2 linked regions of the Oreochromis niloticus genome follow. The protein of the gene in region 2 interacts with the protein of the main gene of each other region in a pairwise test. Links are inferred from orthologs where the notes say so. Each region holds a gene or a part of one and is shown on either strand. Other genes may lie near its edges.

Region 1 (7,840 bases), on a different chromosome or scaffold from region 2:
TGTGGACAGTGATGCTGTCAGTTTCCTGCATTGCAAACGTTTACTGTGTTACACTCTGATCACCGATCAATCATTTCTCATAGTCACCGCTGGAGAATATCTGAGTGAAGATGAGCTCAGATGACTTTTAGACTCTTAAACTGAGACTGTGACGTTTCAAAGCTGCTGCAGACAGTCTGATTGTAATCGGATTACATTTCAGTCCTTGAATGTCATCTAACCACATTTTAAAGGTTCCGAGTCTGAGCCTCGACATGTTTGGATCTGCTTCAAAGAATCGCAGGCCCCGGAACAGAGTCCTCTTCCACGGCAGGACGGATCTAAAATGGATTCAGATCACAGATTCAGACCGGATCCGGTTCCAGCTCATCCCGTGTTACTCTATTTGGATCGTTTACAGCTTCTGCATCCCTGACTTCAACCCTCTCTGCTCAGCATGTGGGCAGCTGAGTGAAAGCTGAGCCACGTTTGTCTTTTATCATCAAAGTCGTCGGCTCGGAAACTTTGGTGTTTTACTCAAACAGTGACTGTCGGGCAGCCATCGTTGATCGTGAAGTTGATATGAGATCAGATTATAACTGTTGACACAATTTAAGTCCTCAAGCATTTTTATCCTATAATGGCAGAATTAATGGAATTTGTTATTGCTACTGATGGAACGGGCAGAAACCGCACCAGAAACAATTGAATAAAATCTGAGTAGAGGGCGGATCTGCCTGGAGGCTGTTGCTATGGGCAACTAATCTCACAGCTCCATCAGTAAACTGTGGCTGAATCATTGGATTTAAAGTGAGATGTAAAATTAAGATTAAGCTTCATCTGACCAGAGTCCAAGCTGCTACACGGTTTCCATCAGCCACGCTGCTCACCGAACTCTCTGGTGCTCCAGCTGTGAAACAGAGGAGTTTTTCTTCCTTCGGCTCCAAACTGAAACGCCTCCAGATCCTCTACTCCACGCTGTGATGTCATCAGACGATCCATCTTCGTCACCACAGCAGCCTGACGGGAAACAAGAAATGATGTCACACAAGAGGTCTTGACGCATGCTTGACGCATGCTCGATGATCCAGGTAATCCCAAAAAGTTGATTCTGTCACTTGGAAGAGTGACGAAACGTTTCTCCCACTGAAAACGCTGCGTCCTCATGAACAGAAACAAATCTGATCAGCCTATCAGAGCATAGCACGGATCTATTTCAGCGCCTTCATCGGTCACATGACACGTGTAAAATGTTTGCATGCTCAGAGGCTCCAGCAGAACACTGATAACCTCCTTCCTGATTCCTGTTATTGATTATTATCTTGCTTGATTAGCTCTGTCTGGGAGTTCAGGTTTAACTGATCCAGCTCACTCAGAGAAAGCTGGGAAATAGTGAACCTGATGATGGCATCACTTTAAAATCAACAAACTGAGATTCAGTTTAACTTCATAAAGCAGTTGTGCACATCAGCCCAAGGAGGAGGAGCCTTAATCTGTGTCACATGCTCAGTCAAGATCAATACTGATCAGCTTTTGTTCAGTGGTCAATAAAAGCTGTTTTCTCATTTTCTTTTGAAAGGTCTGTGTGAGCTTTTACTCTCTGCACTCAAATTATTGATCACTGATGGGGCTGCTGTGTGTGTGTGTGTGTGTGTGTGTGATTATTGATTATTGATTGGATTCTGAACCAGTGTTTTGTTTTTGTCTCTGAACCTAAGTGTAAATAATGTTTTTTGAAGCTTCACCATTTTGTCTACGATTTCCTGCAGTTTGAGACATTTGTCCTGCAGCTCAGAAGCTCCGCCCACGTGCTGTGGTGAGGAAGAGGGTGGAGGCGATGAAGAATTGTTGAGCAGCAGCTGATCGCTCTGAGCACTGAAAACAGATTTCAGATTGATCAATCACATGATCCATCAACACCTGGCATTCCTGAGATCATCAGTAAACTGACCGCCTCATGTTGACGATGCTTGCTGCCGCCATGAAGCCGTCCTCATTCAACCTGTCCCACCGCAGCATCATGTTGTGCCAGTCGGCAGCGTTGTCTTTAATCTTTCTCGCACTTCCTGTGATCGCAGCAGACTTCCTGTTTGCTGACGTGACTGAGATGTCACCTGAGAACAGAGTCACGTGATTTTGTTGTTGAGTGTTTTAGTGACAGAGTGTGCAGGCGACACGACAAGACAATCAATAAAACTTGTGTAAACCACGGTCCTCAACGTGCAGCTCGCCGCCTCAAAGCAGCCTCTGTCACTTCCTGTGATGTCACAGCTCAGAACGTGACAACAACATTTCTAAACTTTTTGTCAAAAAAATCATTTAAAAAACATACAAATGTCAAAAATAGACATAAAATGAAGTAAAGCAAAATCAAAACAAACAAATACATCATCATTCAGCCGTCAAAGGTCAACCGTAACCAACCCTAACCCACCATGAAGCAGGTTCAACATATCCAGGATTTCTTGCCTTGTCTGGCTTTACTGATCCTGACCTCGTCCACTCGAGCTCTGCAGCAGAGGTCACCTTATCCAGGTAACTCAGGGTTTACCTGGCTTTAGCCGGGTCAGGGGGTATTTCACCATGCTATGCCGGTATGAAGCTATAATGTTTCCTGCTGATCAATAATCGATACCAAGCTGCCCACCTTCATGGTCCACGTGACTCCAGCCAAAGGTGAAATCCTACATGGACCTCAGGTGTATACATATGACGTCACTCTTTGTTGTCGTTCTAGTCTCTGAGCTCTGACCCTGAGCGCGCGCCCGCATGACCGCTGATTAATAACGGAAAGGCTTACGCCAGTCAGCTGATAATTTTTGCTGCGCGTGCCATCGATCAGCTGGTTAGTCACGTGTGGATCGATTATCAATCACCCACCTTCCATCTGATCGATCAGCTCCGACCAGCTCCGCCCGCTCAGCTTCTTCTTCGGTGGTTTTTCTTCCAGTCGTCTTCTTTGACCGCGGGTGTCTGGTTTCCGGTCTCGGCTCTCAGGTGAACTCACCTGTGCGCGAGAAGCTCTGTTCTGACCTTAAACTGGTTTTCTGCTCTTACACGTGACTGACGATGCCGCCCTTTCAATTCTCTGACATGCGCAATAGCGTCTGAAACTTACTGGCAGTGACGTCAGCACTGGAACCGGATGTTGTAAGTAAGTGTCACTGCGCCTGCGCTAAGACTGGGACTGCCGTACTTTTACTGACTCTCTTTTTCTGTGGAGATCTTTTAAAAGCTGGCGATAATCGATAATATCACGCAGGCGCAGTTAGAGTGAGAAGAACTGTCGGAGTTGACCACAGACACGATCAAGGATCGATATCAGCTAATCAGAAACGCGGTGTTGTGGCTGTGATGACGTCAGGGCCGCTGCTCAGGTAGCTCCCTGATCGATAATCGGAGGTGAGAGATGGCGCTGCAGCTTCCGGCCGAGTTGTGGCTGAAGGTGTTCAGCTTCCTGTCCTGGAGGGACAAACTGAGCATGCGCTGCACCTGCTCATACTTCAGACACCTGCTGGATAAGTCCCGCCCCCTGTGGAGGGGCTTCAGCGTGGTGCTGCAGAACCTCTCGCGCTACAACCCCTCGTTCTGGCGTAGCCTGGCTCAGAGGCACGTGGGCAACGTGCTGCTGCGCTCAGGTAAGAGGAAGCACCTGAAGCAGCTGTACACCTGGCTGCCGGCGCTCTGCGGCCTGCGACTGGACGACTGGAGAGAAGGGGGCATGGATGATCTCAGACTATTCCGCCAGCTTCAGCGACTGTCCGTCACATCCGGTTCTACACCGCTGAGGAACCTGGACTTCCTGTTTCCTCTGAGTCAGCAGCTGACACAGCTCGGCCTCTGTAATGTGCAGCTCACCTGTTCTGCCTCTCACCTGTTGGCCGCCATTGGTCAGCTGACGCGTCTGACCTCACTACTGCTGCACCATGACGGCAGCCTAAGGGTCCCGTCCCTCAGCGGCGTCCTCGCTCACCTGACCGAGCTCACACACCTGTCCTGGACCATGATCACCTACAGGACGCTCCCACATGACTTCTTCAGCCCCGCCCACCACACAGGTAGGCACACCTGGATCAGTCACTTGCTGAGATATTTAATAGTTAGATTATTGATCTTGAAGGAAGGGAAGGGTAGGCACTGGTGTGTTCTGCCTTCCTGCTGAACCTGCCTCACCTCTGAGATGGAACAGAGGTGAGATCACATGTCACGTATCGTCCTGCAGGTGATGTTGCACTACAGCTGCTGGACTTGCAGCTGCTGAATTATGACGCCGTGGTGACACAGGAAACACTGCAGCCTTTGTCCCGCCTCCGTACCCTGTCAGTGTTCCACCTGTACTCCGTACCTGGACCCACCTGTCACCTGCAGACGTGGCTGACGTCACTGCCACACCTAACCAACCTCAGCATCCACGGTGAGTGTGTTTCCCCCCTTTGTATTTGTCTATCTGAGCATCTCTCTGATGTCTGCAAGTTCAATAGAGATTGAAAATGTGATGTCATTCTGGGGTAAAACTGCAAAGGATTGTGGATACGAGTGGCAAGTGGTACTAGCGCGCACAGGGTTTCACAAGAAAACAGTCACACGGTGATAAAAAGAAACACAAAGAATGGCAAGAAGCTGTTGTATTATTAACTGCAATAGCCGGTCGCATGACAGCCACGGGAAGCCAACGGGTAAAGAGATCGGTTGTTATCGTATTACGTCGTGGAAGAGAAATTGTTAAAGCCGTGTTTCTGAAGTAACAAAGAGCCGACGGATGGCCTGGATTGCAGCCATTCAAAGACCAAATATAACGTCCCAGAACACTCCAGCTCACATGTTAGTCTGCTCCAAGCATTTCCACAAAGGTACGTCTTCTGTTGTAGTTATTACGTAATTTATCATAACATAATTGTTGATGTAGGTTACAAATAAGTCTTATATTGATTTGAATTGAATTCGTTGCGTTATGCTGCTTTGTTCACTGTGGCTTTGCGGGCTAATGTTTGTTGTGTTTTGTAGGAAAACCAGCCTACAAAATGCTGGAATGCATCCAGACCAGGCACCTCTATCACCCTGGGTCATACCGAGGTTAAAGCTGCTACCACAGCCAGATTTGATCCGTTAAGAGAGAGAGCGATATCAAAACAGCCACGAAACGTCCCGCATATATGTGCCCAAGGGGGTTGTATTGTTTTGTTTTTTGTTTGTTTTTTGTTTTTATTGATTAGCATTTAAATATCTCAGTGAATATAGAATAAAGATTACCACAAAGCAAGAAAGCATGAGACAAGGCTAATCAAAAGGTATTGGCTGAAGCATTTGCTTATTACGCCAACCCTTTTAACAAAAGATCTTTTTGAAGCAATCAAGTGATGAATAACTGTTTTCCAGTATGTTGTTTTGCAGTGTTGTTTTTTTGTTTTGTTTTTTTGCATTTTTGATTTGTTTTTCACCGAAGCAGCTAATAAAGAATGATGGATTTTTACAATTTTGCCTCTTTCTTGTAAGATTCTATAATAGAATCAAACAATAATGCCAGTTATAAATAAAGACAATAAATTGAATGAATTACGAAACACTCATTTTATTTCTATTAGATCGGAAAATGTTGTGTAATACCACAACCTGAAACCACAAATAGATGCGTTTGCCTGTACAGGAGATAAAGGAAAAGAATTTAACAACAGCTGTGAAATGGAATAGTCCAAATCACCAAAGTAAACTGGACCTGGGCTTGTTGCAGGGATCTGAAGTTAATAAGATAAGATAAAAATGTATTAATCCCTCGGGTGGGTTCCTCTGGGAAATTCAGTTTCCAAATAGCCCAGCACCGACAGAACTTAGAGAATGTGAGCAGAATAGCATACACATATATAAATAAAGAGACATGTATAAATAAAGAGTATACAAAAGGGATAAATAGAATAAATAGGAATAAGAATACAAGGGAATTGCACATTTCAAGTATTGAAGTCTATTGCACCGTTGGTTATTAACAAAAACTATTGCACAGTGAAAAGGCACTACAGCTTAGTTGTCCCCCCCTTCCTTTGTCCTCCTGTTTCCCCTCCCTCTCCCCTCCAGAGAGGAGTTAAACAGTTTGATGGCGTGTGGGACAAAGGAGTTTTTAAGTCTGTTGGTTCTTGTCTTTGGGAGAAGCAACCTGTCACTGAGCAGACTCCTCTGGTTGTTTATGGCCGTGTGCAGAGGATGCCCAGCATTGTCCATAATGTTCAGCAATTTCTTTAATGTCCTCTTCTCTGCCACTGACACCAGAGTGTCCAGCTTCATGCCGACCACAGAGCCAGCCTTCCTGATCAGTTTTTCCAGCCTGGATGAGTCCTTCTTTGCTGTGCTGCTCCCCCAGCACACCACAGCATAGAAAAGTACTCCAGCAACCACCGACTGGTAAAACATCCTCAGGAGCTTCCTGCAGATGTTAAAAGACCTCAGCCTCCTGAGGAAATACAGTCGGCTTTGGGCTTTTTTATACAGGTGCTCTGTGTTCCATGACCAGTCCAGTTTGTTGTCCACCCACAGCCCGAGGTACTTGTACTTGTTGACCACCTCCACCTCCTCCCCCTCTATCTGAACCGCCAGTGGACCTGCTCTGGACCTCCCGAAGTCCACAACCAGTTCCTTGGTCTTTGAGGTGTTGAGTTGCAGGTGGTTAGTGTGACTCCATGTGACGAAGTTCCTCACCAGACTTCTGTACTCCTCTTCCTGATTATCCCAGATACACCCCATAATGTCTGTGTCGTCTACAAATTTCTGAATATGGCATAATTCAAAGTTGTAGCAGAAGTCAGAGGTGTACAGGGTGAAGAGAAGAGGGGACAGCACAGTTCCCTGTGGTGCTCCTGTGCTGCTGACCACAGTGTCAGACATGATGTCCTTCAGCCTGACGTACTGTGGTCTGTCAGTGAGGTAGTCGGAGATCCAAGCAACCAGGCAGGGGTCCACCTGCATCCTGTTTAGTTTCTCCTGGAGCAGACAGGGCCGGATGGTATTAAAGGCACTGGAAAAGTCAAGAAACAGGATCCTGACCGTGCCTTTTCCCTTGTCCAGGTGTGAGTGGGCTCTATGTAGATGGTACAGGACAGCATCCTCCACTCCGACACCCGCCTTGTATGCGAACTGTAGTGGGTCCTGGGCATGTTGTACCTGTCGTCGGAGGAGTTTGAGGAAGAGCCGCTCTAGAGTCTTCATAAGATGTGACGTCAGTGCCACCGGTCGGAAGTCATTTAGCTCATTGGGCCGGTTCCTTTTGGGGACCGGGACGATGCAGGATGTCTTCCATAGTAATAGTAATAAACATCTTGTGAGTGTATGCACTCACACTTAGAACCATATAATAATAAATATGTGCGTGATGAAAGTTGGGCAGCACGCTGACGTCCTTACTCCACCCTGTACGCTCGTATGGGTCTGACCCTTTCACTCCTTTGATTTTTTCGTCGTCCTTTTTTTTGCCTTTTCGTCAAGTCTGTCTTCGTACGAACCTGCCGTGTTCTCCGTCGTTTTGTACATAACTGTTTTGGGGGCAAATAAAATGCAAGTAGGGATTAAAACCGCAGAATTAATGATTACCGGTGCTGGAAATACTAGCGCTTGATGCAGTGTTTTGATTTTGTTGACACTCGTACCCACAATGCAATGCGCGAAAGTCACGTGATCTGTCAATCTCTACAGGAGGCCACCCCCTGTCAGCGTACGCTGACTTCCTGCCCATCTCGCTGCTCAGCCTGACGCTGTGCGTGGACCTGCAGCCCGACGACCTGCGGGTGGTCTCCACCCGGGTGCCGCAGCTTGAGCACCTGCACCTGGAGCCCTGGAGCTCATCATCCGACCTGATCAGACTCCTCCCACAGCTGTT
Region 2 (7,114 bases):
TGTCAAGACTTGTTCCACCGATGCTACAGGACAGACTTCATGTAATCTTCTTTGTATTCTCTCAGTGATCTGGTTCTAATTCATCTGCATTTGGCAGCTCACAGTAAGGCTCCCACCGGGAGTGAAAAAAAAGAAAGAAATAGAGGGCTACAAAAACAATGAGGCTTGTTTTGATCATGCCTTCCCCCTGTCTGTCCAGCAGATGTTCGTTTTACTGAAGAGGAAACAGCAAATGAGTGAACATGGGTATGTTTCAGTTTGGAAGAAGAAACTGGACAAAGGCTGAATTTGCAACATCGCTAATAATGCTGTCTGCTTTAGAGTCAAAATGTATCTTTAGCTTGTGAATTTGATCAGATTTTCAGGGTTTAAAGTAACAAATATGTGCCTCCATACAATAAAATGCCACAATGTTCTTCTCTGATTGTCTGATGTTTTACTTTTACATATAAAATTATTTTCCATAAGGAAAAACAATAGAACAAAACATTTTCATACCCTCCAACAGTAAATAAACATACATACTACATTTTAAATCTTACAAAATTTATGTTTCATTCATACATGGTGCAAGTAGCTTCTAGATGGGAGAAGTGAATCCAAGGCCAAATCACCTTAATGATGCATTCTTTCTAGTGGCCAGCAGGGGGCGACTGCATTAGTCGCAAAAAGACTTCTGGTTATGTTACTGTGACCACTTGCAGTCAGCTGCCAACTTTAAACTAACTTTGGTGTTTCAGGATGGTGATCAAACAGGAATAAGACGGCAATAAGACAGTTTGTCACTGAACGGGGTCAAGTTAGCAGTTACATTCAATCTGTTTGTGATTAACTGTGATAAATCTGTGCAATTACATACACAGAAATTCAATTTAACGATTAACATTCAGAGTTCAGCAAAAATTTCTTCAATTTGAAACTGAAAATGTACAAATTCCACAACAAACTGGGAGATAGTTACTCCAGGACTGGCAATTTAACTGCAAAATAACATAGATGCTCAATATATTTGTTTTTATATGAGCATATAATCAGCTACATCCAACCAGCTAATAACCAGTTGAGTCCCGTATTGCAAAGACACATGTGACAGATGAGTTGTACTCATTGGAACAGACTGCCACAGATTGATTGCAAGGTGTTTGCTATCTTTCTACATTTCTAAATTAGATGGCAATCATTTGCAAACTTTTATCAATTTGTCATTACAGTCTGTGTGGTTTGGAACATCATTGCTTGGAGACAGGTCGCATCTCACCAGGCAACCTCCCGATCAAAAGTAGTCACTCAGAGGTTGAAGGTGTTGCATGCTCGAACTACGTGCAATCAGTTGCTAAAGAATTCAATGTAGTTATTGGGCAACCCTTGATTTTCCCTTGTCCCAAGAAGGTTGGTATCCTATTTTTACTCTACTATTACAGAACCGTTATATTAGAAGTCCTCAGCTCTCTCACATTTAAACATTTTTCTGATATGGGTTCAGTTAGAAGTTTGAAGTCATACTGAACAAAACATGAAGTTCACTGTGTTGACATTATTATTAATGCTACAACTTGTAACTGACATCGTTAGCTGAAGGGCGTACACTGTCCTCGGTTTTATTGTCACTCCCACCCCTCCTTCATCAACTGCTAAACTTTAGGCTTCATATGGAGGTCACTAACCAGTATGACCACACACATCTTTCATACTGTAAATAGTCTCATCTCACACTATGGTTAACCATAGATTACATAAAAGATGGACGCCTATTTGGAGGCCTGAAAACAGCTAACACCACTCAGGGCTAGCTAGCTTGGTGAGCAAAGTCCATTGGCATGCTAATTTTGGCTATTGGAAAAATAGGTCTAAAACAAAATGTTTTAACCAGAAAAACTGAACAACAAACTCCATTACATATATTTTAGTGCAGCTGAATGCTGATCAAGACCAACCATCCATGCTCCCATGTTTTGCATAACTTTAGGCCTTAGCAGAATTTTAATGGGAACATTAGAGCAAAATTCACATGTCATGATTACAGAACTTAGCTACAGTGGCCCAAATGGTTTTTGCAAAAGGGTGTAAACATATTTATATCGGTGGTAAAACTGAGTATTTTAACATGGCGTATCTGCAGATTGACTCACTTTTGGAGTATTTTAATTAAACATAATTTTTACTTTATTAGTAGTCAGTTCTTGTGTTTTTTTCTCCAGGAGAAGACTGCAAATGTTACCACTTTCATGGGTAAATCATAGCATGACACATACATTTTTTTCCTGCTTCTTTTCCATATGGTTTGTGTTAAGTTGTTGTGCACAAAGAGATCCTTTGGCAGGATGCATCTCAGCATTTCACAAGAGGCCTCATTTCTTCTGAAGTATTGAGCTTATGTCATATGTTGCACTGTATGTGGCATGTAAACATTAAAGCTTTATGCTGCTCTCCCAGAGGAACCCCAGCAACTAAATAAAGCATTAAAAGGCATTTATGCTCTGCTGTGTGCCACTGAACAACAGGGAGGCTTCTCTGTCATATGCACTAATAATAACTGTTCCATACTTTGGTGATTTATTAAAATGGTTTTCATATCATAGAAGTATTTATTTTCCACTCTAACACAGAAGGTCAAAGTGCTTTTTTTTTGCCTCCTACCAACATTTAAAATGTCAGCTGACATTACAGTAAACAAAGCACTCCTGTAAAGTACACTGATCACATGACGTGCACAGCAGATCATTTGGAAAATAAATAAAATCTGATTTGCACACCCAGAGTATTTTATCAAAGGCAAATTGCCACAGATTATCATTTGTGTGCATTTATCCGACAGTCTCGACAAAACTGCAGAGGGGAAATGAGGCCTGTCCACATTTGCCAGCAGAGGAAGGAAACGTCTCTGTTAACAGCTCCTGTCTGACTCACCAATTCAGGAAAAAGGAAATAATATCGAGCATGTACAGACCTCATGTGCTGAAACTGTTTTGATACTACAATGAATAGGACACAAAATCAGCTTGAGTTGTATGTAACTCTGTAACATGATGAATGACGGCTTTGAGGAATGTGCTTACTGGAAAACGACTGTCCTCCTGCACATTCAAACTCAGTCCACACAAATCATCACAGAAAATAAACTTTACAGTTCAAATTAAACATTAGATCAATATTGGAAAATTCCATTAAGATATAAAGCTCACATTCAGCCATCGTCTTTTATTTATCCATTTCAGAGCTCATGGGAGGGTAGGGGCGGGGTACACTGTGGACAGGTTGTCAGTGTGTTGCAGACCCAACACATAGAGCACAGGTGTCGAACTCCAGGCCTAGAGGGTTGGTGTCCTGCAGGTTTTAGATGTGTCCGTCATCCAACACAGCTGATTTAAATGGGTAAATAACCTCCTCAACATGTCTCGAAGTTCTCCAGAGGCCTGGTAATGAACTAATCATTTGATGCAGGTGTGTTGACCCAGGGTGTTATCTAAAAACCTGGACACCGGCCCTTGAGGCCTGGAGTTCGACAACCCTGACATAGAGACTGATGATCACATTAGAGTCACCAATTAATTTAATCCACACATATGTCTTTGGGATGTGTGGGGTACCCAGAGAATATCCCCGCAGACACAAGAAGAGCATGTAACCTCCCCACTGTGGCTGCAGTCTGAATTCGAACCCAGCGCTAACCACTGCATCTCTGTTCCACCCTACATGAAAATTAGTGTTTATGTATGAGCACATATGCATGTATAGCTTCAGCACTGTGGGACAAACTTCCGTTTGCCATCAGAACTGCTCAAAAAGCTCTTTTAAAAATCTACTTGTAAACTTTTAAAGATGATTACTCTTTTTTTCAATTTTTTTATGACTTTTATAAAACTTGAAGTTTAGGTTAAAGGTACTCTTCTAGTCAATTTGCCAGCTGTCTCTGACAACAGAAAAGGCTTTAGAATTTTAATAGTATTAGTATTAGTCCTAATAGTTGCTGTAGTAGTAGCAGTAGTAGTAAACTGACTTTAAAATATTACTTAGCTGTGATTTGCCTGGAGTCATTTTCTAAGCTTTGATGCCACCTGCTGGTAAACCACTTTGGCAGACCTCACTAAGCAGGCCCAAGCACTTTGGCTTAAAATACCAGCTCACGTTCAAAACGACGAACTTCAGTGTTTTTAGACACAGCCCAAATCAAAAGCCTCTTTTTAAACAGCTTTCCCCGAAGGGTTACTTGAAACTACTCTACCCATAATGCACTTCAAACAGTAAACAGGAAACGTATGTTTTGCCGGTCGGTACGATTGTGGCACCCGCTACTCCAGCACTGAGTGGCCCAAACGCCGAAGCTCGTGGTTTACTGCTTATTTTTTTGTATGTAGCTACATTTAATGCTAATCACAAGCCTAGCGCTGGAGCACTAGTTAGCTTTTGTTTGCACTGTGGCTAAGGTGCAACCTTCTGTGAAAATGTGTTGTGTGGGGGCGGTGTGATTTTTTTTCTTTACCGTTAGTCTGCTGGCCAACTTTAAGATGCTAAACACAACGAGCTGTATCAATACGTGACTATTTAAACCACAGTAATTAAGACGAAAGGTTCCAGTCGTGCTATGTTCTTGACAAATGCTAGCTAGAGTAGCTGAGCGGTTGCCAATGGAGACAGGAGGCGCTTATGTGTGTTCATTTTATGCTGCTCTTAAACCCAGAGCTGCTAACAGTGACGATGAAATGATAAATAAATAAAAAATGACAGTAAAAATTTATTCTTCTCTTTTCCTTTGCACTGTTAGCTCAATGGCTACTCTTACACTGTAAACCCACCAGCACAGATTGAACATGGTAAGTCAAACTGTGCTCTCACTCGACATTTCTTTTTATTTATTCATTGACGATATAACGGAGTTTCATTATCACTGAGGATCATTTCATTATCATTCACTTTTTTCATGATTATCTGCTAACTTAATAAACTTATTTTCACTGCTATTTTCAGGCTACAAAGCCGAAGGGGAAAGCCTCGAAAAGTAAGTTAATCTTGTGCTATTTGAATCCTACAAACTTTCCATTTTTTTAAATTTTATTTTTTATAAACTTTCAGGAGTATCAAACATAAGGCCTGGGGCCCAGAATCAGTTCGACAAAGACTTCTAAAGGGTCTTGTACCAAGTAGTGATTTCCGATGTTTCTGTGTATTTGTTTCAATGTGTAATGTCTTTGCTTATATTGATATATAGACTGTAGCTAACATGATTTATTAAGGGGTTTTGTATATAAAATAAATAAAAACACAGTGTCTTTATATAACTATTATTTTGTATTTGTTGCAATTTCTGCTCCCTTCTTGGAGAGATCACTCTTTAAAAAGACACTTTTAATGTCAGTGAGACTTAGCTGGATAAATAAAGGCTTATATATAAGTTAGTTTGCCCAAAACTGATTGCAGCTTCTACCTTGTGACAGGAATGTTGTTTGTGGCTCCAAACGGCTCGATAGCAATCATGAAAGATATGTTTGACAGATTATATGCCAAGAAGTCATTTACAAGAGTTTAAAAACGATGAATTGCTTTTGGTACAACACTGACCTGCTGGGTGGCTTTGAACAGTCTAAAGCACGGCATAAAATTAGACTTTTAACTGATTTACAGCTTGATAAGGAGCTCTCCCATGGCCATTCATACTACACCAAAGTAATTAAGTAATATATAAACTATAAAGCAGAAAATTTAAACTTTTGTACAGTGACAGTTAGGGGAGTTTCACTGGTCTGGTCCACTTTATATTAAAGTATGTTGTATCTGGCACACAATTACATCCTTCTCCCTCATGATTGTACCTCAGCAAAACATTGACTATAAAATGATAAATGCCTATTTCTGCATTAAAATATAACCCAGTGTGTCTCCGTCCTCCTGATCCAATGAGGATGTCATACCACCACAAATACAGATATAGGCAGCAGCAGTAGTATGCCTCGCTTGCACCATGCTGAAGTTGACTGTATACCTCTGTTGCTTTTCTAAGGTTCATTCAGGGATGATTTGCTTGACAGCTTGCTTGATGATGACAGTAAGTGAGCGCAGTTGTGCAGTTTTATCAGAATTAGCGTCTATCTTTATGTTAAAGTGTGTCGTAATATTTTCTTGCAATAATTTGCTAACTAGAGCAGCCAGTAAGGACGAAAGCATCACGTGATGGACCTATGTATAGGTAAGTTAGAAGGAAGATTTGTGAATTGCAAAGTGCCAGCTGTAAATTATTACTCCTCTTCATGTTCTGTTTTCGTTTCCTGCTCGTCTGCTACTGATTATATCTTCAGCACGCTAGCACAGGAGATAAAAATGGATGGTGCGGACACTGAGGTATGTAGGATAATATGCAAACGGGGTCATATTCACACAGTTTTTTTGTCCTTTTGTGTTTATTTTGTCTCTTTATATTTTCTTCTTTTGTCCAAGGACTCGGATGTGTCAGTGGCTGATCCCAGCGACATACTCAAGAGCATGAAGGTGGGTCATTAAGTGAGGTTGCGGCGGCAGAGATAAAGTTCACACTGTGCACGTTTCACTTTTCCTCTCTGTCCTCGTGCAGGACATGGACGACATGGACGCTGACCTCTTTGCATCAAAGAAGAAGCCTAGTTCGGCTCCCGCGCAAACAAAGCCACTTGTTAGCGAAGGACCAAAGAAAGACTCTGCTGTGCTCGAGAGCAATGCAAAACCAGAGGGAGCAGGTAATTCAGTGCAGAGTGTTCTCGCATAAATTACTTTCTCATTATTAGCTCCACATTATTACCAGCTTTGAAGTTTTACATTAATAGCAGCGATCAGAAAAAGGCTTTTGTCTGCCTCGCTTCCCTCAGATGAACCCACCAAAGGGGGGAAGAAGCCGAACTCTGTACCTTTATCCTCAGCGCGGAGTTATAAGAAGTTCACCTTCTCTGGTAAGCGAGTCTCCCCGCTCCCTCTCATGGCATCCGCTTCCTCGACTGAGCTTTGTATAAATGAACAAGGTGCAGATGTGTTGTTGACTTGCAGCTTTGCTTTGTTTCTCTCAAAATGTTGCTTTAACTCAGACAGTGGTGGTGAGGACGAAGGTGTTGCTCAGACTCCTTACGCTGAAGGTACATTAGTGTTGATACGT

The links. The genes of interacting proteins can lie anywhere in the genome.
Region 1: the proteins of fbf1 (region 2) and cinp interact in binary tests that used the Homo sapiens proteins (3 or more experiments, as listed by UniProt). The two-hybrid records come from large-scale screens. The link is inferred for Oreochromis niloticus from reciprocal best matches to the Homo sapiens genes FBF1 and CINP.

Annotation. Positions count from the first base shown.
Region 1 is NC_031983.2:30,840,588-30,848,427, forward strand, and holds the start of cinp (cyclin-dependent kinase 2-interacting protein), read right to left. Parts: upstream 3,004-7,840; 5' UTR 2,867-3,003; coding exon 2,860-2,866; intron 2,094-2,859; coding exon 1,931-2,093; intron 1,855-1,930; coding exon 1,725-1,854; intron 1,000-1,724; coding exon 870-999; intron 1-869. Other genes in the region: uncharacterized protein LOC102079865, read left to right, coding at 3,389-4,037, 4,202-4,393, 7,657-7,840. UniProt on the Homo sapiens protein: Component of the DNA replication complex, which interacts with two kinases, CDK2 and CDC7, thereby providing a functional and physical link between CDK2 and CDC7 during firing of the origins of replication.
Region 2 is NC_031969.2:13,397,713-13,404,826, reverse strand, and holds the start of fbf1 (fas-binding factor 1 homolog), read left to right. Parts: upstream 1-4,088; 5' UTR 4,089-4,254; exon of another isoform or gene 4,255-4,347; intron 4,348-4,370; exon of another isoform or gene 4,371-4,646; intron 4,647-4,762; 5' UTR 4,763-4,808; coding exon 4,809-4,811; intron 4,812-4,965; coding exon 4,966-4,996; intron 4,997-5,995; coding exon 5,996-6,040; intron 6,041-6,135; coding exon 6,136-6,181; intron 6,182-6,290; coding exon 6,291-6,333; intron 6,334-6,429; coding exon 6,430-6,480; intron 6,481-6,562; coding exon 6,563-6,704; intron 6,705-6,833; coding exon 6,834-6,914; intron 6,915-7,046; coding exon 7,047-7,094; intron 7,095-7,114. UniProt on the Homo sapiens protein: Keratin-binding protein required for epithelial cell polarization. Involved in apical junction complex (AJC) assembly via its interaction with PARD3. Required for ciliogenesis.